Linked DNA regions of Rhinolophus ferrumequinum. The protein of the gene in region 2 interacts with the protein of the main gene of each other region in a pairwise test. Links are inferred from orthologs where the notes say so. Each region holds a gene or a part of one and is shown on either strand. Other genes may lie near its edges.

Evidence for each region.
Region 1: the proteins of KPNA5 (region 2) and NUP50 interact in binary tests that used the Homo sapiens proteins (3 or more experiments, as listed by UniProt). The two-hybrid records come from large-scale screens. The link is inferred for Rhinolophus ferrumequinum from reciprocal best matches to the Homo sapiens genes KPNA5 and NUP50.
Region 3: the proteins of KPNA5 (region 2) and ANP32B interact in binary tests that used the Homo sapiens proteins (3 or more experiments, as listed by UniProt). The two-hybrid records come from large-scale screens. The link is inferred for Rhinolophus ferrumequinum from reciprocal best matches to the Homo sapiens genes KPNA5 and ANP32B.

The regions. Positions count from the first base shown.
Region 1 is NC_046293.1:3,879,730-3,890,070, forward strand, and holds the start of NUP50 (nuclear pore complex protein Nup50), read right to left. Parts: upstream 3,865-10,341; 5' UTR 3,542-3,864; intron 140-3,541; 5' UTR 130-139; coding exon 61-129; intron 1-60. UniProt on the Homo sapiens protein: Component of the nuclear pore complex that has a direct role in nuclear protein import. Actively displaces NLSs from importin-alpha, and facilitates disassembly of the importin-alpha:beta-cargo complex and importin recycling.
Region 2 is NC_046286.1:67,627,600-67,637,411, reverse strand, and holds the start of KPNA5 (importin subunit alpha-6), read right to left. Parts: upstream 3,930-9,812; 5' UTR 3,680-3,929; coding exon 3,676-3,679; intron 2,636-3,675; exon of another isoform or gene 2,534-2,635; intron 1-2,533. UniProt on the Homo sapiens protein: Functions in nuclear protein import as an adapter protein for nuclear receptor KPNB1. Binds specifically and directly to substrates containing either a simple or bipartite NLS motif.
Region 3 is NC_046295.1:54,414,948-54,424,799, reverse strand, and holds the start of ANP32B (acidic leucine-rich nuclear phosphoprotein 32 family member B), read right to left. Parts: upstream 4,129-9,852; 5' UTR 3,762-4,128; coding exon 3,708-3,761; intron 1-3,707. UniProt on the Homo sapiens protein: Multifunctional protein that is involved in the regulation of many processes including cell proliferation, apoptosis, cell cycle progression or transcription.

The DNA.
Region 1 (10,341 bases), on a different chromosome or scaffold from region 2:
CCAAAGCGAACTTAAATTTAGAGGCACTAGGAAATCACTCCCAGGGAACCCCCTTTTTACCTCTTCTGCTTCGTCTTCCTGATCCCAGTTCCTATCTGTCAATTCCTTCTCGGCAATTCTTTTGGCCATTTTTTCGAACCTAAAAGTAAAAAGGTTAGACGTAAAAAGTTTGCTTTTCTAGCCCAAGACATCACTCTTACACTCACTCGAACATGAAACGAAACAACAACATTCCTGACACCAGTGGGAAGGGCTTGAACGGGAACTGTGTAGTTAGGCTCCCTGTGTTTCGAATCCAACAAAGGAGGCAGCGAGGTCTTCTAGGGAACACTGGCACTTTCCGAACAACACTAAACCAACTTTATTTGGACAAAATTAAGGACACCTCAATCGATTTGTTTAAAATCTGAAATCGTCAGTACTGCTTACAGGATCACGTGCTTAACTTATTCTATGCAAATGACACTTACAATCTTGCTACAGACAAAACATTTTTAGTAATTAAAATTATCTTAAAGATGATCCAACAAAGAAGTTCATTCTTAGGAAAGAATTTTAATAAGGCATTGGTAATACTTTCATAGCGTGAACACCCTTCTTTAGGCTACAGACAGTTGATAGAAATACATTTCCGAAGACTGAACAGTTAATTACCCCAAATTGTATATTGCTAAGGTAGGACATAATTTAAAAATTCAAATGTAATTAATATTGATATGTTAACATTCCGAGAATCTATAACCCTTCAAAAATAACCCATGAGCTCAACTCCTCGAACACCACTACGTTACAGGGAAAGGGGGGCGGGGGGCGGGCTGACAGTATTATCTCTGCAGTAATATAAGTACCTATCCAAAGAGGGTGCTTGCATCTGTCCCTTAAAATTTGTAGTTTGCTTTCTTATCCTAACATCATAGCCTTTTGCTATAAAAAACATAAAAACAATCAATGGCGAGCGTGCGCCACTGTGAGTGCTGGGCCGACTTCCTCCCTAACTGACCAGTTACATGGACAAAAACCCTCTAATTCCTCTGCCACCCACCTTGCCCAGGAATTTACCCCTTAGTTCAGGGCTCCTGAAACCTGCCTAGACGCCTTTCTGATACTTGCTCTGTCCCCCTTTCCTTCTACACCACAACCCACCAGAAAAGTTTCTGAAACTTCACAGTCATTAAGATACAAACTTATATTTCACCTACTACTTTTTAGTATCTACAAAATTCAAATGCTGACTTCCAAAGCCCTCCAAAATCTAACCCCCTGTAATTACATAGGAGTTTTTCAGCTTTTAATGATATCCTAATAATCTTTGAATCCTCTTTTATAATGTCTCTCCCCAAACATCGGGTCAAGCTTTGCTATTACTCTTTGTAATCCAAACAAAAACAATGTACTTTTAGACATTATTCCTTACTGAACTTTTACTGTTCAGAGGCCAGATGCTTTCTTTTGGCCATTTTCCTGTTCAGTAACTAACACTTCCACCAGAGGGCAGAAGAGGAGAGAAGTTGAAACAGTCATTTTTGCTATTAAGGTTAACTATTAACTGGTAACTTAATAACTTAAGTTATTAACTGGCAAAAAGGGGTGGAGCTAAAAGGGCAAAACCTGTAATAAAGTAAAACTTTAACCTCTAGCTCATACCCACAACTGAAGAGATAATTGGCATAGCAAAACATCCTACATTAATGTAGCTTGCTCCCAGATTCGACCATATTCATCAGTAACTAACCAGAGGGCAGTGATCTGTTTTGTTTACTGATGCGGACTCCAAATGCCCAAACCTGCCCTTCTCCGGGCAAGTTCTAGCTGTTGTCCACTCAGTGATCTGGGACACTACATATTTAAGAAAATACCGTTTGGCATCCCAGTTTTCCCATTTTATTGCTGGAAACCTTGGGCAAGTTAATTTTTGTGCCTCAGTTTCTTCATCTGTAGAACGGGGAGGTGTGAAAGTTAAATGAGATAAACAAAAAACTTAGTTTAGAATAGTGCCTGAAACAGAAAAAGGGCTTAATAAATATTAAAGAAACAATTGTTGTTAGAAGGAGAGGCTATAAAATACTCTATTTTCTCCAAAACATAAAAGTTATAGTGTGGAAAAAGAGAATTTACTTAAATTATGAGTCGGGCTTTAAAATATTTTAACAACTCCGTATTTTACTTCAAAGCATGACACTTCAGACAATAAATTTTCTTTTTATGAAAGAAGAGGGAAAAAAATCGCTGTAAGTACTTGGAATAAGCCCTGGCACCTAGACAGTCTTATGTGACAGCTATTATTATAAGGTACTTAAAAAGTTTGGGCTTGTGGTTTAAAAGGTACCGAGTTATTAAATGATTCCTTGTGACAGCAAATTGAAACTTCTGGTAATTGGAAAAACTTTTATTATTTGTGCCTATTACACAGAGGGTGCCAAAAAAATGTACACACATTTTAAGAAAGGAAAACTGTATTAAAATTGTAATACTTGATATATACTAATAACAAAAACTGAATACAAGTCACGTTTGACTTCTGCAATGACAGTAGGTGCTCAAAGTGGTTACCATCAGTGTCCAGACACTTCTGATTACGGAAAACTACTGCTTGAGCAACGCTGACCAAAGTGCCCAATTGGATACATTTTTCTGGCACCCCAAGTAGTTTTGTGGTCTCTACCACTTGGTGCTGCCCAGCTCCAGGGGTTGAACTTCAGTAGACATTAGTTTATCCTAAGATGAAAACAGATTTGACCGTACTTGATAGTGTAGTGTCCCGGGGAAAAAGAGAACAAGGGGGCGGACCCCGAGACTGAAACGCCAGGGGAAAAGAAATCGCTTCTTAAAGGAACAGAGTAATGGGGTGATCGATGGCCTGGGATTGCGGTAAGAAAGTGAAGCCAGGCCAAAGCAGTGGGGGGGGAGGAGAAGAGCGGTGAGACGGCCAAGGGGAAGGAAGTACCGAGAGGAACCGCTAGGAAGTAAACCAGATGGCCTCGGGTATTCGCTCCGGCCTCCCGCCTCCACCCGGGCCGCAGAGGCCCGGCACCCCGGCGAGCGTGAGCCAGTCCGCAGCCCAGACAGGTCAGCCCCGAGCCGGGCTTCATAAACAGCCCCGACTGCGTGGCGGCTGTCATCCCGCCCCACCCTCCCGGGATCCCCCAACCGTCCCGCGTACCCCGCCCGGCGCCCGCTCCCCAGGCCCGGGCTCTTCATTCTGGCTCTTCCTTCCCAGACTCCTCTTTCCAGGCCCGGGTCCCGTACCCTGATCGGCCTCCTCCTCCCCTGGCCGGGACTCCGCACCCCAGGTCCTCTTTCACAGGGTCCCCATTCCAGGCCCGAGTCCCGTACCCAGACCCCGGCGCCCCCTCCCCAGGCCCGAGCCCCACGCCCCAGCTCCCCCTTCCCATGACCCCCTTTCCAGGCCGGGTCCCGGACCCGGACCCCGGTTCCTCCCCCCCAGGCCCGGGCCCTACACCCGGCTGCCGCCCGGTCGTCCCGACACCCGGGCTCGGGCGCTCGGCCCCATCCCCTCCCATGTTGCCCATCCGCGTCTCACCTCCGGGGCGGCCGCCGCAGTACTCGCTGGGTGGTGGGCGCGGCGAAGCGTGGGTGCGCGGCGATGAGCAGGTGCGAGGACGAGGCCGCGTCGCTCGAGTCTCAAGCGGCTGCGGGTCGCCGGCTGAGCGCGCCTGGCCGCTTCCGGAGCGCCGAGATTCTCGAAGGACTCGGGGATCAGTAAGCGCAGAGTCCCAAACAGCATGTCCCCTGGGGGCCTGGTCTCTGTGTTCGGCAGCGAGGAGGAGACTTGTCCGCTCAGCCGGAGCCTGCCGGGGGAACAGCGCCGCACACACTCCAGGCCGCCATTTTGTAACTCTAACCTAACCCTCAAACCCAATTCGAAAAAAAGGGAGGAAAGAAACGCCCGCGTCCGCCTACTGCGCAGGCGCGCCGGGGCCTCAGGCCGCGCACCATCTTCCTCAGGCGGGGGGGAGGGGCGCCGCGCGGCGCATGCGCCTCGCTACTGGGAAACCGTCGCTGGGAGGAGCGGCCCCGTCTCACGCCTGCGCGCGCCGGCCGCAGTTTACGCGCGTTGGTCACGTGCCGGCTGCCGTGCGCGTTTGAGGCGCTCGCGCGCGGTTGGCCGCTGCGGGGCGGACGCGCGGGGCTTTGCGGGGCGCTCAGGAGGGTGAGGTCAGTCAGCGAGCTTGGCCGAGGCTCGCGGTGTTCCGTGGGGGTGCTGCAGGGCCGAGCAGGGACAGGCCGCGGCCCGGAAAACGTGAGTGACACGGGGACAGCGTCACGTCGGGAGCGCGGTGCCGCCATCGTGTCCTCGGCAGCCCTGCCCCGAGCGCCCGCCGCATACCTGGCTGCGGAGCGGTCGGAAGGCCCGGGACTGCGGAGCCCGGAGGGATGGCCTCGGGGGAGGAGGAGAACAAACGGACCCATCCGCCTTCCAGCTCGCGTCTGTTCTCCGCGGTGACACCTTAGAGGCGAAATAACTTGCCCGAAATGGCGCCACTGTGTAGGGTCGGCGAAGGCGAAGTCTGCAGACACGTTTTTAAACTGTGGAACTACTACGTGTGTCCAGCGTCAGGATTTGTGTTCTTGTGCTTTTGTTTTGTATCTTACAATGGAGCATTTCGCACAGTAGGTTACGCTGTATCCAGCAACTCCGTTTTGTCCGAGTCTTCTTGCCTAACGGTTGAGAATATTAACCAGTAGACACTATGGGAATGAGACCCATTTATTAACCAATAGAAAAGTTGCTAAAGAAAAGGAACATTCTTAATTCGTAGAGCACTGCTTCTTAACATTTGGCAGAAGGGTGTTTATGGATGTACTTGAAAACGCAAAGAAAGTTTGCGCATACATGCCTATAGGAAACCAGTTTGCATATAATTTCAGGGTGTTTATGAACCCCCCCTAAAATGCTATCCAGGGACCCCCGTGCTAAGGATTCCCTATCTACAGACTAGATTGAATGTGTAAGGGTTTAGAAAAGGGTGGCCCCCCGCTCTGGACATTTAAGATAAAGTCAGATTTATTCCCTGCCATATGTTTAATTCCCCTAAGACAAGAAATCCAAAATATAGATGTTGCCAGGTGTTTCTTTTTCTGAGACGGATGTGAAAAGAAATACCCCGCCAGGGAACTGTATTGGGTGCTGTGTGTCTTTCACACCGTTGGTGATTGGATGGAATATTGTGAACCGTTCGTGTAACTAGTCAGAGAATATTGACTAATGGTGTATTGCAAAAACAGAGGTCTTTAGTGGCATGCTTGTCAGTGTTTTTGTTTTCATCAGCAAAAAGAGAACTTAGAACACAGACCCTTCGGAATGCTACGTAGCTGGCCAGAGCTATCCCACTGGTTAGTGGCAGAGCTGAGGCCGGGTCTCAATCCAGCCCAGCACCTCTTTCCATTTACCCTTTCAACATTGAATGCCCACAGCTGGGGACTCCACAGATTTTTGGTGCTGAGCTGCAAGTGGCCCTTTGTCCCTTCCAGCTGTGTTGGGTCAGCCTTTCCATACTCCACCAGTGACTACTCTACATCCTTACCACTTAAACCTTTCTAGCCATCTTTCAACCCCATTCGGCCTCCCAACCCCCAGCATCACCATCCTTAGTACATAATAGGTACTCAACTACCAAATGAACGAACCCTTCTTTTCTTCAAGAGAGAGAAACATTATCCCAGACGTTTCTGAGTTCTCCTCTGACTAATAGTTTGTGAATCTTTGTATTTGGTTCTGTCTGTGTGAAGCTCGTTCATCCCAAACTGTTTTCTTGTTCTCCATTCTCCAAATACCACGTCTATGTGCTGTAATGTTAATTATTAACTATCCTGCACCCGCCAGTGTAAAAGAAGTCTGGGTTTTCTATTTTGGCTTTTTATCCAATCCCAGAAATCCCACCCCTCCCTTTGCTTTCTCCCGCCCCCTTAATCTACCATCAATGGATTTCATGTAACCTTTGAGTCTCCTTTTATTCTAATTAATAAAATAAGCTGCAGAACTGCCATTCTCCAATGGAGCATTTTTCCAATCCGTTGAGATTCTGCTTCCCAGCAATTGTCCTCAGTTTGGCTCAAATAAACTCACAAAAATTCTCTACAGGTTTGGACGTTTCCTCGACAATATGTAGGATGTTTCCATATAAGGGACACAGCTTAGGTAGTGATAGACTTTGTTCTATTCACGTTTCTTATGTAGAAATGTGGCCAGTTAAAATCACAACTTTTATTCTTGCAGTAACAATATCTTGTAAAGCTAAGCAAAACAACACATTTACTTCTTAATTACATATTGTAGCATGAGGTAATTGATGCCTTTCTGATGCAAATAAAAAAGATTTATGCACATAGTACCACTTTAGCTGCCTTGCACGTGACCTGGTGGATTTCAGTGCTTCCTAAAGTGACAGCTTTTAAACAGGCTCTAACTCAGATGAATGAAGGCAGTTTGCATGCAGACCTCGACCTCCATTGAATTTGACTACTGCCATTTGGTGAGGCCCTTTGTCCCAGATTATATGAAATAGTTCCCCAAAGATAATAGCCGTTTTTTTCTGAAATCTACCTCCAGAACTCCCTTTCAATTTGCTTAACCCCCGAGGATTTTTATGTTTGCCAGCCTGGGTCAGTTTCATCTTTATGTTCAGTGAATAGATATCCAGACATACTGGTTTACCTACTTTATCTAGTTCAAGACAAGTTCGTGGCCATGTAACCTTGCATTCCTTTCTGCCACTGGAGTTCTATGGCAGAAACCAGTGTCATCTTTGCCACTGTGATCAAGTCATAAATGTCTCAGATAATTCAAGCCTGGTTTACCCTAGTAAAGAAAATTGCAAGATAAAAATTGTTGGATTCTAGCTGAGTTCTGGCTGAAGCTTGAATCTTGAGATTGGAATCATTCTCTACTTGGACTTAGCAGAAAACATCCAACAATAGGAAACCTACAGGACCACACTATGCTCCTAATTTAAGGAATTGAAACAGGAAGTGTTCTGTCATCAGCCCAGCGCAGGGGCTGCAGGCCTGGAGTGGCACTGCTGACGTTCCCAGCTAATAGAGCTTGGCACCTCTTTTGTGTCTGGAGTGACCTCTTTGAATCGGAAATGATTTATTGACCAATATCTGTGCCCTATCCTAGAGTATCTTTTACCTAAAAAAAAGGAAAAAAGGTCAGGACAAATGGGCAGATAGCATGCAGTGCTGAAAAGAATGTCATGTGTTACCACTTTTCTCTTCCCAGTCTTCAGTTCTCCATGAATTTGGCTTTGAATACTGATCAAATGACCTCCACAGTCAAGAGAAGTTACATACTAAGGCAATGGAATGAAGAATTTGGGATCATTATTACCAGAATTCCATGGATTTCTTCGAGAGTTGTGCCACAGAAATTCAAGAGTTCTTGGAAGATTCACATTTCCCCAGACCTGGTCTGAGAGATGGAAGTCCCGCAATGATGCACGTACCACAGGCGCCCACCGAGAGCCTTGTTTCCTCCCAGGATTCTTCTTGCCTAAGCTCGAACCTAGAAGAAAATCTTCCTCCTCTGGTTGTTGGGGAGCCAAAGCTTATCCAAACTGCGTGAGGGAAGGGAGCGGAATAAGCTAGGGTAATGCAGTGATTAGGACCGTGAGCTTTCGAGTTCATTGCCCTGCGTTTGGTTCTTGATTGGCCGCTTACCAGATGGGCCTTGGACAAGCTGTTCAACTCTTTGAGCTCAGTTTCCTCATCTGTAAGCTGAGGATTAAGTGAGAACATGGATGTAAAGCACACAGTAAATGCCCACGTGATTAAGACAATCGCTGTTTTCAAGTTCCTTGGAGCTCCAACCCCCCCAACACTACGAAAAATTTTTAATTAGTTTTTCCCTAACAGGATTCTTTTAAAGATTTTATTTGTTTTAAAAGCTTTATTTATGAAATTATAGTTCAGTTGCCCTTTACTAATTAAAAACGTAACTGACATTCAGAGGTTTTTACTCTATAACCAGCTCCAGTAATTGTATTGAGTTCTTACAAGTCTCGCCAGGAGCAAGAATCCGTGATGTTATAGCTGGAGCAGTTTTATCATGAGTTACAGTTGTGATTTCCAGTCGGCTTTTTAAAATGTCGCCAGAGGCCAGGGACTCCCCTGTTCTTCATCATAGATTCTAGATTAGATCTTTCTCAATCGCATCGCATTTGGCTTCATAACAAAAAATTAATTATTAAACTGGAATTCAGCTGTATTCTCTCGAGACTTTGAACAATGACTGATTTTGTCCTAGAGACTCCAATCTGTTGGTCACTCAGAATATTTCACAACTTGTATAATAGTTTTCGTATGTCAGGCTTCAGTGCAAAAGGATTAAAACTAATGGATACATTTTCTAGAGCTGTTCATTTATTTTCCTTCCAGGGTTTACAGCCACTAAAAAGGTAATACGTAATATGTTTTTAAAAAACTGTTCAAGATACTATAAATTATATAAAGTAGCACATTATATCTTTTTTCTGGGAACAAAATTAACTGGTAAGAATGAAATAATAGATAAAACTGTCGAGACATCATGGGCAAATACTGTCAGTTCCAAGGAGGAAGAACTTAACCACAAACAGAGGTGATCAAGAAGTAAGTATTCACAGCATTGGGGCTAAAAGACCGCCAAGGATGAATGGCTTTTGTGTAAATGGAGAGGAAGGGTGGGAGGGAGCGATGGGACGTGTGAACAGAGGACATAGAGGTAGGAAGTAATTAAGGTGTCTGGGTCTTGGAGAAGAAGGTGTAGAGACCACATGAAAGAAAGCAGGTTTACCACGTCCGTGAAGAGATCCAGCTTGTTCATCCTGCCGCTCCCCTCAATGTCTAAAGCCTTTGGAGCGTGGCGCTTGTCTCCTTGGTTGCTCCTACCTACAAGTGTGTCGCAGTTTCCGAGGGCTGCGGAGTGCCCGTGCTTTTTAGATACTGTTGAGTATAGTGACTGGTGTTCCTTTAAGGGCTCGGGATTAATGCGATGGGAACTTGGTATTTGTGAGATTGGCCCTAAACCAGCCCACAGTCTTCCTGCGCCGGCCTCTGGCATCACTTCTCCATGGTGACCTGCTTGCTGCTTTACCCTCTGGCCCTTCGTTGGCTTCCTTCTGTGTCTGGCCCGCTCTTATTCTTAGCCTTCTCTCTGCCTGTCCACTCCTTTCCGGCCACCTCAGGACCTCCTGCCACATACTTTTGTCTCCAGGGTCGTAGCTTTAATGGACCCTTTTGGCAAGGAAAAGGAGGGAAGTAGGAGGTGGGTACACATTTAGCAAAGTGCAGATGCCCGTGATGATGTGATGTGACTGCCATCTGATCTTAGGTTGTATTAATAATATTTAGAGCCAGGGAGGCGGTCTCTTCCTGCTGTGACCAGTTGAGACCACACTTGGAGTAGGCACGAGGAGAGGCAGCACAGAGAGAGAAATTGGGAATACAGGGCTCTGGAGGCAAGCTGCCTGCATTTCACTTCCTAGCTTTGTGACCTGGAGCAAGATGGTACTTCTCTGTTGAGTTGGGGGGCCTGCAGCTGGTGTATTACGCTCATATGCAGATTAGAATGAGGGGCACAAGCTCCCTTAGCATCTGAGCTCCCGCTTTGCGGAAGTGAAAAACCTGGGCTGCTTCTGATTGAAGGCATAGTTTCAGTACAGCCACACAGGACAAGTAGAGTCACAGATTTATTACTCTAGATGCCATACATGGGGGTGGGGGTGCAGTGAGCCCGGGGAAGGGCAGCCCGCCCTCTCAGCTCACTAGCGAGCAGGAGATAGAGAGCAGGGTCGCAGGTGCTTAGTACGTAGAAGGTGGTTGGGCGGAGGTCACTAACTTTCCAATGGCTCAGCTCCACGTGGTTATTTTTAAAGGCTACCCGGGGGCTGACCCGGTGGCTTAGCGGGTTAGAGCTCCGTGCTCCTAACTCCCAACGCTGCCGGTTCGATTCCAGGACCGCCTGGAGTTCCCGGGTGCGGGGGGCCGGGGGGGTTTCAGTGTTAGGGTTCTCTGCTTTCTGGGGGTCTTAAAAATGTGATAATAGGTTTAGTACAGTTTAACACAATTAGGGACATTACAAAGGATGCAGAATGAACAAGACATGCTTCCTATTTAGAGGATTCAGACTCCAGACGGGGATGCAGTCACGTGTGCTAGGTGCCAGTAGACATGCTCAGGGTGTGTGTGGAGGAGCGCACGCTCCAGCAAATGTCGTACTTCACAAGATGTATCCATAGTCACACACCTGACGAGTCCTCAGAGTTTAATTAAAAGGTATATTTTTCTCTTGGTTGAGATTTTATCAACTTAGTGTATTAATTCTCTGTTGCATGCTGGTCA
Region 2 (9,812 bases):
CTTCAGAAGCCTGACATAAACCAAAACAGTAAGAAACTGAGTGTGCCTGAACAAGAGGACACATGGGAGAAGGAGAAGATAAAGCTATAAAGATAGCTAAGAACACATATGGTGCCTGTAATCTGGTTGAGAAATCTGGACTCAATACTAAGGAATACAACTAGAAAAATTAAAGAGAAGGTTGTTTCAAATCTTGATGATGAAGAACTGAACTAAATTAGTAGCTGCACTGGAAATATAGAAGACAGTTTGATTCCAGAAACATTTCAGAAACTGATGCAACTACAGGCAAAACAAATGTAAGGAATGTATGGTGAGGAAGAAAAGGGAGTTGATGACTACATGGTTTTCAGCTTGAGCTATAGCATAATGACAAAATAACCCAAGACAGGGAATATAGATGGAGGATCAGAGAGATGGTTTGGTTTGCTTGCCTGCTTGTTTTTGAGACAAAAATTATGAATACAATTGTTTTATTTTTTAAATTTACATGCAGTAAAGGAATCACTATTTTAGTATATGGTCCTATAAACTTGAAAATGCATGGGCATATAAACATCACAATCAAGATACAGAACAGCTCTATCACCCCTAAAACACTTCCTCGGGCTATTAGCTCTCCTCCAACCCTTAACACCTGGCAATCACTGATTTGTTCTCCACCTTCACAGTTCTGCCTTTTCCTGAATGTCACATAAATGGAATAGTAACAGTGTATAGTTTTAAACTAGCTTCTTTCATTTTGCATAGTGTATCTGTGAGTTGTTCAGATTGTCGGTATGTACCAATAGTTTATATTCCTGCTTATTGTTAAGTAATATTCTACTGTATGGATATTTCACAGTTTATGAGGTGAAGGACGTTTAGGTTGTTTTTAGTTCAGGGCAGTTACGAATAAATCTGTTATAAATATTCATGTACAGGTTTTTGTGCAAATATAAGTTTTCATTTTTCTTGGGTAAATATCTAGGAGTAAGGATTGATAGATAACATGGCAAGTGTATGCTTCAGATTTCAGAACAAACTTTCAAACTGCAAAGTAACAAACATTTTGCATTCTCATCAGTGTTTAATGGTTCTTGTTGCTCAACATCCTGTCTACACTTGGCAGTGTCAGGACTGAACTGGAGCCATTCTAATAGGTGTATAGTGGTGTCCATTTTAAACATGTCAAATTTATAGTACTTTGGGCACATATAGATGGTTGAAATATGTGTCAAAATTCAGGAGAAAAGTCCTCCTGATTGATCATCCAAGATCATGTAGAGCTACAAAAGAAAGATGACCAAAGGAGAAATCTTGAAGATGTTCACATTTGAGTAGAAAAGAAAAAAGCAAAGGAAACCAAAAAGAAAAAGGACAAAGAAACAGAATAAGAGTCATGAAAAAGAACAGAATTCAAAACATAAAGAAATATTTCACATAGTACCACAGCACAAACAGGCCACTCAATTTACGCATTCATTGATCCACCCGGCAAACGTAAGTGCCTACAATAAACCAAGTACTATAAGAGACATCAGATTTGATAATTAGGTCACTGGTAAAGATAGTGAGAGAAATTTCATTAGTGGTGGAGCTAAAGGTAGAACAGAATGGAATGAGGACTTAGGAATGATTTAAAAGGTACTTTGTGCCTTTGAACTTAACACACGTATATCCTAGTAATTAAAGTACATTTGCAATCGACCAAAATCCTTCTTTAAAATATATAATGAATTGACTCAGCAATACGGTGTGCACCTACGAATATTTATCATTAGAAACAGCTCAAACTTTATTAATAACAATGTTTAGCATTATTCTCTAATTATTTCATATATAAAAATTCTGTCTCATTAATAAGAGCTTAATCTCTTAGAGGAGAAAAATAGAGATCAGAGTTCATTACAGATAAAACTGAGCTTCAACATTGTTGAGTTATACTCAGTAAGTATAAAATACTTGAGCAAAATGAAATGTTCACAGCAATAATCCTCTTAAAAATATTTATCACCTACACATTAGGCATAATCTAGGCCCTTGGCCTCTAAACTTTTTTTGATCACATACCCTTATATATTGCATATTCATTCTCAATGTTTATATATTTATACACATGTATTACTAGCCTAATAAACTATCCCATTATAAAATCCAGAAACAGAAATGTTTTTAAAGTTAATAGCTTTTAAAGGTAAACTAATGTAAATTCTATTTTTTTCCTTTCCACGTCTGATTAAATCACCTTGTGCCTCTGCTCAACACACGTACTAGACAGTACTTCTAAGACCATTAATCTAGTGACCATATTAAACCTTTCAATATAAACATGTTAACGAACTAAAATCTAGCCAACAACTCATATATCATTTGTTCCTCTTTCTTCTACCGTACTAATTTCTTGCCTCTTATTTAAACATCTTCATCCTCACTGCCGTTGCTTTAAAGAAGACATAAAGTCTAAGGAAAATGATCTCTCTAGGTGCTTCACCCAATAGGATTGTTTCATTCTCTGGAAAATAACTTTGAAGGTACTTTAAAGGCTGCTGTTATCTCTTCTCAACCTTTTGGCTAAGATCAAGTGTAGTATCTGTTCTTAGTTTAATTAAGGCTGCTGTCTCATACAAGTTATTTTAAATTTAAGAAATGCTATTCAGATACTTTAAGGTTGCAGAACAGAGGAATTGTTTTTTCTGTCATAAGCTTATTTTTTACTCAGCTCTTTGAAAAACTGTGTTGAGGATAGGCAAATAACTGGAATGCAAAATTTTTCTACATCTATTACCAGAATTTCTTGTGCTTGTAAGCCTCCAACTCTATGGGTTTGGGTGCCCATTAGTAAAATTACATGACTGGTACAAAGGGGGAGGTGTGCTGACTTCAGCCCCTACAACTGAACAAACAGTACCGAAAGATCCAAAGAATAGAATTGTTTCTTGTTAACCCAGAAAATAAGTCACTTTCCTACAGCAAATGAATCATTGAACGTTGTAATGGAGACATCAAGTCAGAAACATTTTTACTGTGTAAAAAAAGCCCACGAGTAAATGCCAATGGCATATTCTTCTTCAGTATCACCATCCCATTTCACAGCTTTCAGATCCTTTCATATCTTACGCATTATTGAGGAAACACTACTAAATTTTGGTCTTAGGAGTTGGCAGACTATGAGAGGCATCTAACCCACGCTTGCCGTCGTGGGGACTGAGTCCTTCCAGGCACCTGCATCCAAGTGGAAGAGGGCCGCTGGTCGAGGTAGAGGGTGCGACGTGTAGGCCCCGGGGACTGAACCTGCCTTATTCTTGACACTATGGTACTTCTAATAAGCTGCAGAACACAGACGCTGAGTCCCAGGAGTGAATGTCAAGGTTTGAGAAGAGAAACTACTGAGAAAAGGCGAAGAGGAGCGGCGAGTGGATGATATTGGCTGCCTCAAGCTCCTTCCGAGGACCAAGCCTGGCTGTCTAAGAGGATCTGTACTCCCCGCGCCTCCGCGTCCGCTAGGGAAAGGTCCGCCTGCCACGCCCCCGCCACCGCGGTCTCCCTTAGGGCACCCTGAGAAAACGCCCGGCATGGCCTGGTCCTGAACCCTATGCAAGGAAAGGGGTAAATACAAACAGCCCAGGAATTCCTAGCTCCCAAAGAGACCAAGCCCGATGGTCACCCAACCTGGCCTGCATCACTCCCACTTACCCATTAAAGTGGCACGATCCGGTACCCTGACTTCTAGTCCTCCGCTGCGGCGTCTGCTCCGGGTAACAACGTGGTCGCCACTCCGCCCCTAGCGTTCAGCGTAGCGATCAGGTTCGCAACTCAAAATGGCGGCCACCTGAGCCCCTTCCCCGAGACCCCGAGGTTCGGCTCCCAGAAGCCCTTGCATGAGGCAACCGCAGCAGCCGCGGTGGCGGCGGCGAAGGCTGCACAGATCCGCAGCGGGGCGGGGAGAAGACGCGTTCCAGCCGCACCCACCAAAGGAGGAGCCGGCGTCTGCACACGCTCACTGAGCGCAGTCCCTGTGGCAGGAGTGTGTCCTACTGCCCTAGTCCTCCGTGAGGGTTCTCAGTCGATCATTCACTTGTTTGATCATTCATTCGTTTATCAGTTTGGCATCCATCCATCCATCCATCCATCCATCCATCCAACAACATAGTACTAATGGAGGGCCTAATCTGTGCCAGGTATTGTTTTAAATATTGGAGCTACAGCAGTATACACAACGGATAAAAAACCCAACCTCATGGAGCTTTACAGAGGCTCTTGCCTTCTTCAGCTTCATTAACTTCTTCCCATATGCTCTCCTTGTTTTCAAGTTTTTCAATTTGCCATTTATTTAAAATTTTGTATTCTATAACATCTGTAGATTTTTGTCAAAAAAAAAAGTAGTCACTGATATATGAAGTAAATAACTAAATTATTATAAATATGTATAGCCTTGTAATCCACCCTGGAGTTCAAACAATATTAAAAACAGACTGTTTTCTAGATGCAATGCTAGGCACAGAATGTACAAGATAAATTATACATGATTCCTACCCCCAAAAAGCTCCTATTTTCCATCTCTTGTTCTATGTTTTAAAAATTTTGGGGATTATCTCTCTCTCTCTCTCTCTCTCTCTCTATATATATATATATATATATATACACACATACACACACACACACACACACACACACACACACCAGGGGTGCCCAAAAAATGTATACACATGACTTGTATTTAGCTTTTGTTATCGGTACATATTATTACAATTTTAATATAGTTGTTTCCTTTCTTAAAATGTGTATGCATTTTTTGGCACTATATATATACATATATATATGTATGTATGTATATATACATATATATATATATATGTTCTTGTTACTGTATTTTTTAATTCCCAGAGCTATTTCCTATTTTTGATTCAGGCATTAAATATCTTTTCTTGTCTCTCTGAAGATATTAATTGCAGTTTCCTTGAAGTATTCTTTTTCTATTTTATTCATTATCTATGTTTCTTCAGAGTTCATTTTTTTCCTTTTTGATCATTTTGGATTTTTCTTCTTTCCTACAACAGACTGCACTCCAATGCCTGGTGATTCTTGAGAATTCATTTGTATTTAAGAGTGAGACACTAAAGAAACCTATTGTAAGCTTGTGTATTAGTGGGGCTTGTTTACTGTTGGCCTCCTTACAGAGTGATAAAATAGGATCTAGGCTATTTCACTGGAGGATTTTCTAAAAGTCATTATCTGTAGTTTTCTAAAAGTCATTCTCTTGGACCAGTGGTTTTCTCTGGAGAAGTATTCTCCAACCTCCTGATTTGGAGGCACAAATCAGACATCAGAATGTGATGGTAGAAAATGGCTAAGGGCATCATAATTCAGAATTTAGCTTCCATTATTCCCCATTTTTAGTCCAACATTTTGACTCCCACCCTTAGCTGTGCATTTCTAACTTCATAGCCTCTCAGTTTCATTTTCTTCATAAACTAAACCTGTAGTGTTCTGTCTTTGGGGGAAAGCTGAGTCACTTGGCAACCTGATGATAGAGGAAATCTAGAGGTAGGGTTGTAACTGCTCCTTGTTCAGAATTTCAGCGAAATATTCCTCTTTTCAGGCCCCAATTTAATATCTTTTCCAGAAGTATCTGGTCTTTACTTTCTGAACATCTCCACAGTTATGGTGTATGAATTGACTAGTTATTGATTGACTTCTTAGCTAACTTGGTTACTACTCATCCATCCTTTTTCTAGCTTTCAAATTTTTAAAACATCTCATTAGTATGTATTTTTATTATTAGTTTTATTCTTCTATCATTTTAGATTTTGAGAAGCAGGGAATATAAACGCACATGTTCAATTTGTCGTGCTCAACTACTCAACCCCAAAAATGATTTTTAAAATATATACTGTACCTCATCAGTTCATGCCATTCTATTTAAAAACTGCAATAGTTTTCTACAAGGACCTGTGTACAACTATGACCTCACATTGTAACCACTTCTGGAACGTTATGCTCAAATCACAAAATGTTCTTTTTGCTCCAGTCTTAAGGCCTTCATTCTTATTATTTTCTCTGCCTAGAATGCTCTTCCTCCTCCTGTTGGTGCAAAGTTTGTTCATTGTTTACTCAAAAAGACATTGGCTAAGGACATTTGTCCTTTCTATAAATAACCCAGTTTTATTTCCTACTATGAAGGAAAACTTATCATTATCAGTTTATTTATTTATTTCTCTGCCAGAATGTAAGCTTCAAATGGCCTGGATTTTGTGTATTTTGATTACTGCTACAGTTCCAGTTTCAAGCAGAATGCTTTTCTAATAAACACTCATTAAATATTGTTGAATGAAATAAGGACTGAACCATAAAAATAAGGTATTAATACACATGATCTTGCAACCTTGAGGCAAGAATCTGTTTTAGTCGTCCTCTATCTGTGGAGCATAGTTTAGAGTGTGACACTTGCTAGCACTTTAAGCCCTTTATTGGTAATAGAATAGAGTACTACTCTGGCCCTATACAGTGGATACTGTGGACTCGTGTAATGAATGCCCTAGGACCAGCCCTAGTAATTCTTTCAGAAAGACCTCAGAGCCTAGTGTCTCTCCTAGTAAATTAGGAGTCGAACCCTAATGGGAGGATGGAAAAATGACTACAACTTCCAGAATGCAGTACAACCTAGACCGGCGCATGCTGGGAGCCCTCCCCTTCCGGGAACAGAGGGAAAGCTTTTTTTGAATGTGATACTGGAGGCTGAAGTCTTTTGAAGTCGCTGGTTCTTTTCTCCGTTAACTGAATCTCTGGGTGAAGAGAGGGCCTGCCTTTGTCTTTCAGGCCGGGAAAGGTAATCAACGCCGCTCACGTATTCCTCTTCCGGCGAGCCAGATGCTGTCAGCTCCGAGCGTGTAGAAACTGACGGTCCCAGCCCTCATTTCCCAGGCCCAAATCTTTGACCCAGTAAGTGTCTGAGCTTGTTTTGTGTCCTGGGTCGGGACGTGGGAGAGGATCTTTGGGCAGCCTCGGCTTTGCTGCATTCTGGCCCTTGCCGCCTCTCTCATTGCATGCCCATCCCAGCACCTGTCGCCCGCCTCCTTCCAGCTCACGCAAAGTGGGAGTTGAAGTGTATCCTTCTGTGTCTAGCCGTGGCCCAGCCACGAGAAAAGAAGAAACTCTGGTGTGACGTTCTTTACACTGACGGATTGGGAAAATTTTCTTCTAAAACCGGACTATTTTCACTTCTCTAAAGGAAAATGAGAAAAATAAGGACAGTGTAAGGAGTGCTTATAAAGCTAAATTTATTTAAATGATGAGAATAGTTTCCATATCTTTTTTTTTTTCTGTTTGTTTTTAAATAGTCCTCAGCTGAACGATGGTCTGTGGTAGGAAGGTTGTGGCGGTGCTTTTTAAAAAAATATTTCTTAGCAAAATCACTTTTTGTCGGTAGCCAGTACTTTTAAGTCCATAAAACTCAAAAGTGACTGCTGATTTAGTACAACTTATTCTATAAACGGAAGCTCAAAGAGGTGATGTGTTTTATCTAAAATTCTGAAACAGATTATAACCCAGTTATTTTAACTCTGGAATCAGTGTTCTTTTCTACTTTGCTCACTCTCCTTCTATTCTTTAGGTTGAGAGTACAGCCTCTGGAGCCTGACTGGGTTCACTTTCTGCCTGTTGTGACATATCTGATCTAGGGTTTACTCCGTATAGTATTATAATGGTACTTAAATTAGTTTGATATGTGTTAAGCTCTTTTTTTTCTCTTTATTTTTTAATTTATTGGGGTTACAATTGTTAGTAAAATTACATAGATTTCAGGTGTGCAATTCTGTATCACATCATCCATAAATCACACTGTGTGTTCACCACCCAGAGTCAGCTCCCCTTCCATCACCATACATTTGATCCCCCTCACCCTCATCCCCCACCCCCCAACCCCCTTACCCTCTGGTAGCCACCAAATTACGTTCCCCAGATTAATTTTCAAACCCGTGGCCATCCTGTGGTCACCGACTGCCCTTCAATCCCCTCACCCTCCCCCCCACTCCCCACCCCTCCCGCCCATCCAGCAACCCTCAGTTTTTCCTCTTTGTCTCCAAAACTGTTTCTGATTAGTTCATTCACTTATTCTTTTCTTTAGAATCCGCAAATAAGTGAGATCATATGGTACTTATCTTTCTCTGTCTGACTTATTTCGCTTTGTGTTAAGCTCTTTAACTGTTAACTGCTATTGTTAAGATGTGTTTATTTACCCTCCCTATCATTAACTTTAAGGTTGTGTATTTAGATACATCAGTTGATAAAACTTCTCTTCGTTTTCTCTTACCTGATTTTTCTTACCTGAGCAATTTTATAAATGTTACTTTTTTTCTACCTCAGACCGGACACATTTTTGGAAATATTTGAAAAATTATTTTTTTTAATTTGAATTATTACCTTTGTTTTATTGAAACTATAAACTTAAAATACAGCAGTGAAATTTTGGTTGAAATTTATAAGTTTGTATATTTGAGGAACAGTAGGTACATTGAAAATTTCTTCATCTAAATAATCCAGCTTTAAATAAGTTTAATTGTTCCAAATCATTTATAAAATGCATTTTCTTTTTCTCCAGCTCTTTCTAACTTAACATAATATTGTGTTCTTTTCTAGCTACCTGATGTACCATGCTTTCTTGTGATATTTGTGGTGAAACAGTAACCTCAGAACCAGATATGAAGGCTCACCTCCTAATTGTTCACATGGAAAATGAAGTTATATGTCCATTTTGCAAGTTGTCAGGTGTGAATTATGACGAAATGTGTTTTCATATTGAAACTGCTCACTTTGAACAAAATGAACTAGAAAGAAACTTGGAAAGGGTCAACACAAGACAGTATGAAACTTCAGATAACAGGGAGGACAACACCCTACAGTGTAGAATGGAAATTAATTCAAGTATTCATTCAGCTGGTGCATCTAATCATCCGAAAATTTCAGCTCAAAGCCTGCCTAAGGATGGTACTTTAAACCACAAAGCCTTTTACTCGGAGAACTTAACTGAGTCTAGAAAATTCCTGAAAAGTAAGGAAAAACAGTGTGACTTATCCAAAATAAAAGGATCAATTTATGAAACAATGTATAGTCCTCCCGATTGTCCATTCTGTGGAAAAATAGAAGATTGTAATCAAGACATGGAAACTCACGTGAAAACAAAGCATGCCAATCTTTAGACACTCCATTAGAAGGTAAAGTTGTTCCACTTTTATATAACAAGTAACAGTAGTCCTCAGTTTAAGAGAATTTTGAGGCAGATACTTAATAGTAAATGTTCAGCTACATTGAGAGTAGTTTTCTAGGGAGAAATACACTCAGTCCAATTTCCAGAGGGTGTTCTTTTACTTACCACCAACCCAGTGGACTGTCTCAGACTGATTTTCCTTTATTGTGTTCTAGTTTGATTCTATTATGATTAGAAAACACACTCCTATTATTTCAGTTCTTTAAAATTTATTGAAACTTGTTTTATGGCCCAAGATAATGGTGTGTGATCTACCTTAGTACAAGTTCCATGAATACTTGGGGCAACCAAATGTATTCTGGTGGTGTTGGGTGTTCTATATTTATCAGTTAGATGATGTTTTTTGATTGTGTTCAGATCTTGGTAATTTTCTGTGTAGCAGTTCTACCAGTTTTTGAAAAGGGGGTTGAAGTCCCCAATTGTAATTGCATATTTGTCTATTTTTCCTTTCATCTTTATCAGGTTTTATTTCATGTATTTTTTGAGGCTCTGTTGATGCATGCACATTTAGGATTGTGTCTTTTTCTTACTATTGGATTTTAAGAGTAATTTATATGCTTTTGGATAC
Region 3 (9,852 bases), on a different chromosome or scaffold from region 2:
CACAATAGACACAACAATAAACAATAGATGCCCAAAATTGGAGAAAATGTGAGAAAAACCTAATTTTTTTCTTCAATAAATTGGGACTAAGGAAAGACTTCTTATTTATGGCATATAAAATGTCTCAGTCTTGCAAGCACACCTAGTGTTCCACAGGGGCATAGACTGTGAACCACAGGAACTGCTTGGCCTTCTAACTTGGAAGGAAAAACTCAAACAGGGCTAACAGCAAAGCTAGCTGTTTCTAGATGCACAGTTAACAAGGTGCTCCTATCAACAATTTCTGTGGTGTATATGGTATATTTTAGGGCTGTACAATTTGTTCGCAGTGAAGTAACTGGCAATACAAATATTTTATGTAAAATATTCCTATATTTTTAAATGGTTATCACCATTCTTTATGAAGATTATTTTTAAAATCCATCTTAGTCAGTTTTTCCACTATGAGAACACACCTCTGACATAAGGAGCTGTTTCGGACTTAGAAAAAATGGAATTATATATATATTTTAGTTCCCCATTAGAGAAATGAGAATACTTGTGTTTATAAACAACATGGATATGGTACTAGGTGAACTGAACCTATTATCTTGATCTAAGCCTTTGGCCAAAGAACACAAGAAGGTAAAGTGTTACCAGGGTCTTCTGCAAACCCCAAAATAAAGAACAAAAAAGCCATACACAACACAGGCCAATCTGGTCTTTAAAAAAAACCCAAAAAACCCTAAAAACATTTATGATCCAACCTCCACTTACCCTCCTCAAACACTTAGATCTTACTTAATGACATTAACCTCGGCCAGGGGTACACTCTTCTGCATTTAAGAGCCTCTTGCCCATACATTCAAAAGACGAAGGATTCTTCCTCTTTCCTCAAATGATGAGATTCTGTCGGATCCCAGAAGCCAAACCTACTCCTGGCCCCACACAAAATATGAGGAGCCTGTGACTAGCTGATTTGGGCTTTAAAGGAATCATTTTGGAACTTCCCATTTGCCTTAAGGATGATGCTGTTCTTCAAAAACACTTTTTAGCTGCTCTTAAGTATCTCGTCAAAATCTACAGCATTTTTACCCACAAAAGCCTTCAGTTTAAAAGTCAAAGAGAATCAATCTCTTAAGAACCTACTCCTGCTCTCAGTCTCCCTGTGAATCTCTAGGGCAGCCTGTCTTTCTCCCCCACGATATTGGCTGGCTCCAGTTAACACTTTCAAGGCCAGTACAATAGGCACCACAGAGGTCAGGAGAGAAGGGGTAAGCTCTCAAGTGCTGTTCACACTGCTTCTCCAGGTCCTGGCATACTGTTGGTACTCAAATATTTAATAAACCAGTGGATTGCTGTAGACCAGTGCTGACCAGTACAATAGCCACTAGTCAATTATGGCTTTTGAGCACGTGAAATGTGGATAGTGCAACTGTCAAACCGACCTTTTAATTTAATGTTAATTAACTAGCCTGTGTTTGGCAAGAGGGTAAGGCCTAAGTTGATTACTTGAAAAATTAACACTTGCACAAAAATGCATACTTTTCAAAGAGCAATATATTAGTCATCTCATATATGAAAAATTCCATATAGTGGGATCACCAGCCCAGTTGTACTTCCCAGAGAAAGCAACACTGATCCTTACCGAGTAAGTACTTTAATAGTACTTTAGTTACTGCACAAAGAATTCAAATTCTCGATTTGAAAATACTTGGAAGACCCAAGTGTGTAGTACTTTTCTTTTTCGGAAATTCTGGCTAAATGTAATTACTCCACATTCTACTGATTTATAACTACTCAGTAATAACGCAAACGTCTGAAATTAACAACGTCTCAAAAAACGAGAAGAGAACTCGTCGAGTTTTACAGTGCGAAGAGGTTTAACCCTTCAATATACTAGCACGTGGCCGACACAAAATGTCTGACTGATGAACGGAAGGGACGAGCTGGGTCCCACCTCAACTTTAAAACCCCAGGGATTAGTAGAGACGCCCACGCCTTCAGCTCCCTCAGGGATGCTCGGGGTGGCCACGTGGTGCTGCGCCCCGAACCTCATTTGTGGTGACCTGAGGGATTCAAAACCTCGTGCACACCAGGAAAATCCTGGTTGATGAATTTCCACAAGTTGGTAACTTGTTACCCACAGCTACCTGACTGCACGAAACGCGCCCGTTGCGGGACTGGGGCGGGGTGGGAGGGCTTCCCCAGTGCTCCCCCACGGCTAGAGCCCGCCACTCACCCGAGGAGGGGGTCTGGCAGATGGGCGGCCTCCCCACGCGGGGGCCGGGTACCGTGGCCCTGCACCCGGCCGCGGGAAGCCGCTCTAGTCCGCGGGGTGGAGAAGAGGCGATTTTTAAAGGCTTGCCCGCAGCTCACGCCGCCGCGGCCAGCAAGTGCCGGCCTGGGTCAGCCTCATTCGTGCACTTGTGGGGGGCCGAGGCCGCCGAGGCCCGCCCGCACCCCCGGCTCCTGGCCCGGGCGGAGCCGGCCGCCGGCATTGCCCTTTTAAGAAGGGGGAGGAGGACAGCAGAGCTCCAGAGCGGAGATGAGTCGGCGGCGGCGAAGCGCGCAGCTCCCGCCAGTGCGAGCCGAGCTCCGGAGAGGCGAGCAGAACACAAGCCGCGAGCTCGGCTCGGGGAGCGGCAGCCCGCAGCCACCGCCGGGGGCGGACGGGCGGGCTGGGCCGAGCCCGCAGGCCAGCTCCCGCGGCGGAGGGAGACGGGTGCCCGCCAACATGGCGCTGTGTCGGCCTGTGGCGCGCCCCGGCTGGCGCGTGGAGCCGCTGCCCGCCCACACCGAGGGGCCAACCTCCCGGGCAGGGGCCCCGGGCTGCGCCGCCGCGGCGCGGGGGGAGGGCGAAGCCGCCGCCACCGTCACAACGGCTGGCCTGGGCCGACCAGGGCCCGCCCTTGAAGGCCGGGAGTGAGGAAGGCCCGGAGGGCAAAAGGGAAGGGAGAGAAATGGGGACAGAAAGTTTTATTTTTAGGCTTGAAAAATGGCGGGAACCGCGTCCTTTTTTCAAACTTGGCCTGACGAGGGGCGGCGGTTGCGCCACCTCCGCGGCCCGGCCTCGCCCCTCCCCCGCTCCGCGCGCGCCAGGCCGCGCCCGCCCGAAGCCCCCGGTCACCCGAGGGGGCTTCTAGCCCCCCCTTCCGAGGCAGAAAGCCCACTCCTCGCCCTACAGTTCCTGCCCTCGGTCGGGCCGGCGCCAACCGCAAGAGCAGGCCACGGGAGACCCCTTCCCGCCTGAGCCCCTTGCCCCGCCGGCCCGGGGCGCGCGAAGCCCGGCCTGGCCCGCAGCGGGCCCAGCCCCGGCTGGCCGCGCGGCTCCTCCGCAGGCCGGGTCCCCGCTCGGCCGCGCATCCCGGGAGGCTGCAAACATGGCTCCCAGCGTTACACAACCCCCTTGTCCCTCCCTCGCCGTCTGCCACACACACGCGCGCTGCTCCGGGAAGGACCCAGGTGGGCGAGGAGCTCAAAGTTTGTTTTCCCCCACCCCACCGCCTTCCTCGGACGGCCGCGGGGGCCCGCGGGCGCCAAAGAGTTAATCCCCGCGCGCTCGCTCCCCCCTCCGCGCCCGCCTGCCCGCCTTCCCGGTCCGAGCCCGCGAGTTGCGCCCTTCCCCGCGCCGGGGCTGGCGAACCCGCACCCGGGGCCCCGCAGGTGGCCACCATTACATGCAAGTCATCGGAGAGAGAGGACGCCCGAAGGGGGGCTCTGCTTACCGCTGCCGGGGTCCGGTTCCTCAGCTCCAGGTGGATCCTCCTCTTCATGTCCATGTTTCCCTCTTCCCCCCTCTTCAAACTTAACTTTCCGCGGCAGGGGCGGAGGGGGGAGAGGCGGCCCGGCCTGCGCTGCGAGGGCCGTCGGAAGGGGTCTACTGGCGGCAGAGGCCGGCGGCGCGGTCCTGGGCGGCGGGCGGCGGGCGGGCAGGCGAGTGGAGCCCCCGGAGCCAAGTTACTCACGGGAGCCGAGAGAAACCATGGAGGGAAAAGGGGGCTGGAGCGTAACGCTGGTCTCACTACCGCCGCCCCCGGCCGCGGCCCCGCACTGCGCTTAAACCGGCGACGCGGCGCAGGCGGCTGCTCAGCACCACACGGCCCGGAGCGGCGCCGCTCGACTCGGTGGCTGAGGATGAACCAAGGACGGGGCGGGGAGACGCGGCGGGAGGGGCAGAGGCTGGAGGGAAAGGCGCTGCCTGGGGGACCCGAGCGACTTCCACCCCTCCCTCCGGTTGCACGTGGGGTGGCTGATGTAAGATCTTCCTCGGGGGCTTCCCCGCCCGCCGCCGTGCTGAGACCACCGCCCCCCGGACCCCACCTCGCTGCGCCCAGACGCGGGTCTGTGGCCCGCGCTCGCACGTTTGCGTGGAGGGCTCGGGTGGAGGCTTTACAGTCCTGCTTCGGGGGTCCGTAAGACCAAGTCGGTCCGCTGAGACTCGACCAAGCCAGCCCGACGCCTGCAAAGGCGGGAGACGTGAAGGAGCGCGGGACGCGGAGCTTGCGGGTTAACCTTCTGCTCCCCTACACGGTGTGGATCAGCAGCCCGAATCCTTCCGTATCCTTCGCCCCGTGATAGTTGGAAGGGCTGCAAGGACCCCAGTCGAGAGCGGAATCGTGGCCGGCCGGTGTTGTACCACGTGGCACCAGGAGGAGTTGGCCTTCGCGGCCGGCGGGGTCTGGGGCAGCCCGGCAGCCAGCCCAAGCCACAGAGTAGCCGAGCGTCCCCAAGTTCGGGAGAATCTCCCTGGGTTTCTAACATTTAAATGTAGGCTAGCAAGGCAGCAATTAGCATTTCTAATGGGGCCTCCGTGTTTTACAGTTTCCCCGCAGACTTTTATCCCATTATTCCTTAGTGGACCCCTGTGAGGTGTGTAAATTCTAGATGGTCTCGGTTTTGCTGAAGCTTGGCAGGTAGCCTTTGTAATAGTCTGGCTCAAGAGAGCACCCTGAGAACCAGGGTTAGAGCACTATGTTTTCTTTGCGGACCTCTGGGGAGTAACGTATGGTTATATTCAATTTAAAATAAGTAAATACGTCATGTGTCTAATCCGATACCATCTTAATTCTAAAATAGACAAGAGGCTCCAAAGATTGGGAACAACTTACGAATAGAGAAAAACACAATGCTATTAGTTAACCAAAGATTTTATTAAAGTTAAGAAAGACCCCCCTCCCATTTTACCTGTGGCAAACAAAGCCACTTATATCAATTTTTAAAATATGGGATGAATTAAAATTTCAAAGCAAAAGCAAGTTTTAGAAGGACTTTGGAAAAGGGCAAAAACTTTCATTTGTTGTTTCCTGAGTCTAGTATTAAAATGTTAGTCTCAGCAGATATCTCCGTGATGGGAAAATGGTGAGGGAGTACTCTTCAGGATGTCACGCGAGGTCTGTAATTATTAGGTTATGAGAACCACAGGGCCATGAGATGAAGAGTTTTACAGAAAACTAGCAAATCAGTTCCATGAGCTAACAAGATTGGGCATCCACTTTTAGCCCTTGATATGCTCTTTCTCATTTAATCCAAAGACAACCCTGTGAAGTAGATTGTATTTTAATCATTTTACAGAGGAGGAACTGAAGCTCAGGAACCCTAAGCTGCATGGCCAACAAGAGGTGGATCTAGGATTCAAACCCAGATAGGTCTGACTCCAAAGCCTGCCATCTTTACTGCTACACTATCAGTCTAACTGCAATGAAGTCGTAGCATGGGGATCTGATTTGGAACATTTGCAGAGGACCTTTAATACCAAACAACATGCAGGTACCCTCTTGCAGGTAAAGGGGAGATGCTGAAGGAGACTGGAATGTGGTAGCTCTGTGCTAGAGAGAGGTAACCTGGTGACTCGCGAGGGAGGTGGTTCTGGTCCTTAGGGAGAAACTAGACAAATCTTGGGACCCTGTCCTCTATGACAACTCAAGGGTATGAAGGACTCTTTCCTCACAAGATAAATGTGTGCTTTATAAAATTAAACTACAAAGTAATTAATAAACATAGCCACAATGTACAGCAAGTAAAAAGAAAGCAAAAGAGCCAAAGGAGGAGAGACTACAGACCCGGTACTGTCCCTTCTGACACAGCCGGTGCTGGCATGCACCTCTGTGAACAAAGAGCATGTGTTCCAGTGACATGCTTCTTTGTCAGGGGCTTCACTGCCAGAGGCATAAATAACACAGGCAGAACAGGGTGTGTCTCACTGGCCTGCCAACATCTTCCACTGGACTGTCAGTTTACAGGCCTGAAGGGGCTGTTGTCACAGTGCCCTGGTTTTGACTACTGCTATACTTAACATCATTCTGAGTATGCATCTGGGTGTAAGAAAAGTAGAATATATCATTGTACCTAATCCACAATTATTATCATGTTTATGGATTTATGGATTTGAACAAGGGCTAGAAAGAAACAAGGAAAAGTGAAAACAGCCTATTAGTTTGTTAGGGAGCCTGAACTATGTATGGGTGAATCTTTTTTTGCTTCCATTGATATTAATGTTTGCCTAATAAGTAATAAAAATATCAAATGATGTCTGGTTTCGGCACCCCTTTGAGTCTTAAAATTGCCTGTTTGTTAGAATGTGTGTGTAATTCCAGTAAGCTCCAAATTGTTTGAGGAGAACACTCTAAGCTAGTTTGTAACTCTTTGGACTTACTCTCCACTCCACTGCCTTAGCTCTCGCAGGCCATTCATCAAACTGTCAGATGCCCCCAAGCCTTCCACTCATTTTTTGGTTGGGAACAAACTTTAATAAATCTGAAGATAAGAGGAACCAGCCCCACTCAGGCATTGGTTTAACTGGCTTTGAAACCAATTTGGCAGAATGGTACCCTTTTTCTTTAGTAAAGACAGTATACGAAGATGATGCCTAATATAGGGTGAGGAAATCATTATTCTTTAAATGCTATAATTTCCATCCTTTTCCTCCTCTCCCATACACATGTGCATACAATGGTAACTGTTTCCTCTGAGTTTCCACAACATGGAGTGTGTACCCTTTATAGCAGTTAGGCAACACATAAGAGTTGTGGAAGGATCTAAAATTTCAACTAGACTGTGAGTTCATACAAGTATTTCTGGATGATATAAATGGAGCGTAGGAGCCTGGGACATCTTTAGAACATAGGTGCTCGGCAAATGTGTTATGCTGAAAATAGTGTCGCCTGTACTCAATACTATTTGGCAGCTGAGACTTGAGACAAAGGAAGAGGAGAGGCAAATAGTTAGATGAAAATGGGTTAAGGAATGAGATCCTATAAGTCTCCACATGGTAAAAACAGAGGAGGGGGCAGTATCAGGTGTGTAGACAGCTGCAGGTCAAGTAAGGGGTCCTTGCCAAGGGAACCAGATTCCTTTCTGCTCTCTGAAACAGCTGTAGGTGCTGGGCCTTCCTGGGGCAGCAAGGAAGAGCTATGACTACCAAGAGCCAGGTTTAATATTTATTAAGCACCATCCTTATGCCAAGTACTGTGCTTGGGACTTTCGTGTATATTGCATTTCAGTTAATCCTGGCAACAGCTCACTGGGACAAGACTATAATCCCTTTTTATTGTTTAGGAAACAGACTTGGAGAAGCCAAGTGGAACTCACATAGCTAGTAAGAATCTGGATTTCTTTGCCATGTAATTCATTCTTATTACTTTGATCTACTAGTCCTCACAACTGCTTCTGAAAAACCTGTTTTTATTTTCTCCGCTTTAAGAAGATTTACATGCTCATTGTGAGGGGGAAAGAAAAAAAGCACAGAAAAATAACATTTAAAAATTAAATTCCTACCGTTGAGATATACCTATCAGCTTTTTTTTCCCTATAGTATACATTTTTTTTAAAAAAATACTGGGATCAGATTGAATTTTTGAAACTTGTGTTTTCCACCTATCATTACAATAAATGAGTTAATATGATAAATATGAGTATTAACTTTGCTAAATATTTTTCCCTTTTTAGAGAAGGACTCTAGTGATGTGGGAATCCTGTTCTGTTCCATCACTTATTGGCTGTGTGCTTTTGGACAAACCACCTAATCTCTCTGAACCTCAGGCTGCTCATCTGAGGCCTGTTGTGAGGATTAGGCATGATCACATGGGTGAATTCCTGCCTGGTACAGTGCCTGGCACTCTCCTCTGTGCCCCTGCCACAGTCACTGCCCCAGTCTCTCCCTTACCCTAAGCAGAGGCCCAGAACTTTCTGGCCTCCTCAGGGGCTGGAGAAGTTCTGCTGTGGCCATCAGTCCTCCATCTCTGCTCCATGTCCTTCATTTCATGTAGTTACCCTAACCGTTTGGCTGAGGAAGGGGCTCACCCCAAACCAACATAAGTTTTGACTTTCAAAAGGAGTGGATTCCTTTTCTGTTTCACACAGTCCTTAGGCTCTCTTCAGGGACTGGGAACATGCTCCTGAGCCAGACTGGAAAAGATCTGAGTAGCCCCACAGTGGTGGGTATGTAGCTCCGCCATAATTAGCCAGCATTCTAACCATCTGGACTCTCTCCTACCTCACAGGGATTTCCTTGTCCACACAGAACTAAGACTGATCCAAGAGTCCTGCTCTTGCTGACTGAACTTTTCCCATCTGTTCTCCAACTTGCTTTGCCAGCTCAGGTCCAGACATGGGCCCCTAGGTGGCCATGCAAGGTAGTCGTTCCTCACTCGAGACTCTGACACTCCTGAGGTGGAATATGCGTTCCCTAATTTGCTAGTTTCTTATTTTGGCAAAGGCCAAAAGTCCCAAATACCCTTACGTTATACTTCTTGAAAAGCAGGGCAGGAGTGCCCTCCTAGTTGCTAGATGGGATGCTGCCCAATTCATGAATCACTCAATAAAGCCAATTAGATCTTTTAAAAAGGAAGGAAAAAGGAAAGCAGGGCAGCCAGGTTCCTGATTTCTTTTTATGTTTATCTATGCATATACTATAGAAAATCTGGAAACTATACTTAACAAAGAGAAGAAAATAAAAATCTAAATTCAGGGCTAAGCACACACTGATCACGTTTTGGTGTCTATTCTTCCAGTCTTTTCTGTACACACATATGGCACTTTCTCAAGTCTCAGATTGCCAGAAGCATCATCTCATTAATAACAGCTTTTCAGGGAGGCAGCGAGGGGGGAACCCACTACATTAAGTATTCATATCGATTATGAGGCATCTTTATTTCAGAAATAGTAAGTAGAAAAAAAAAACCTTTCAAGTACCTAGGAAATACTATATATGATATTTAAAAAATTTTTTGAAAGTGGGATGATACTGTAACTTGCTTTTTTCAGTTAACAATATATTATTAATATAGTTCCATGCTATTAAATAGTCTTCTATAGAATCCTTGAAGACATTATTCTACAAATGAAAATAGCTTTTCTTTTTCTGAATATAAAAACAATACATATTCATGTAGCAAATTCATGCAATGCAAAAAAAAAGTATAAAGAAGAAAATGAAAGCCAGCCCAAATCTCATTACCTAGCAGCAACCGCTGTTAATCATTTTGTGAATATTTTCTGAGCTATCTCTATGAAGATGCATATGTAAAATATATAATATTTTATAAATGTAATCATACTATATAACGGTGCTTTGTAACATGCTTTTATTTTTCACGTAGCAGTAAGTCACAAGGATTCCTCCAAGACAACAAATATAAGTCTACTTCATCATTTTAAAAGTCTGCATCATATTTCACTGTATGGATGTAGCATAATTTGTTCACCTGGTCTCCTACTGATAAACATTTAGGTTATTCAAGTTCACCATTATATATAACACTTTTGTACAGTTAGCTCCTAGAAATAAATTCCTAGAAGTATAATTCCCAAATCAGTATATATTTTTCAAATTTGGATATGCATGGCAAATTGCACTTCAGAGGCTGTACTTTT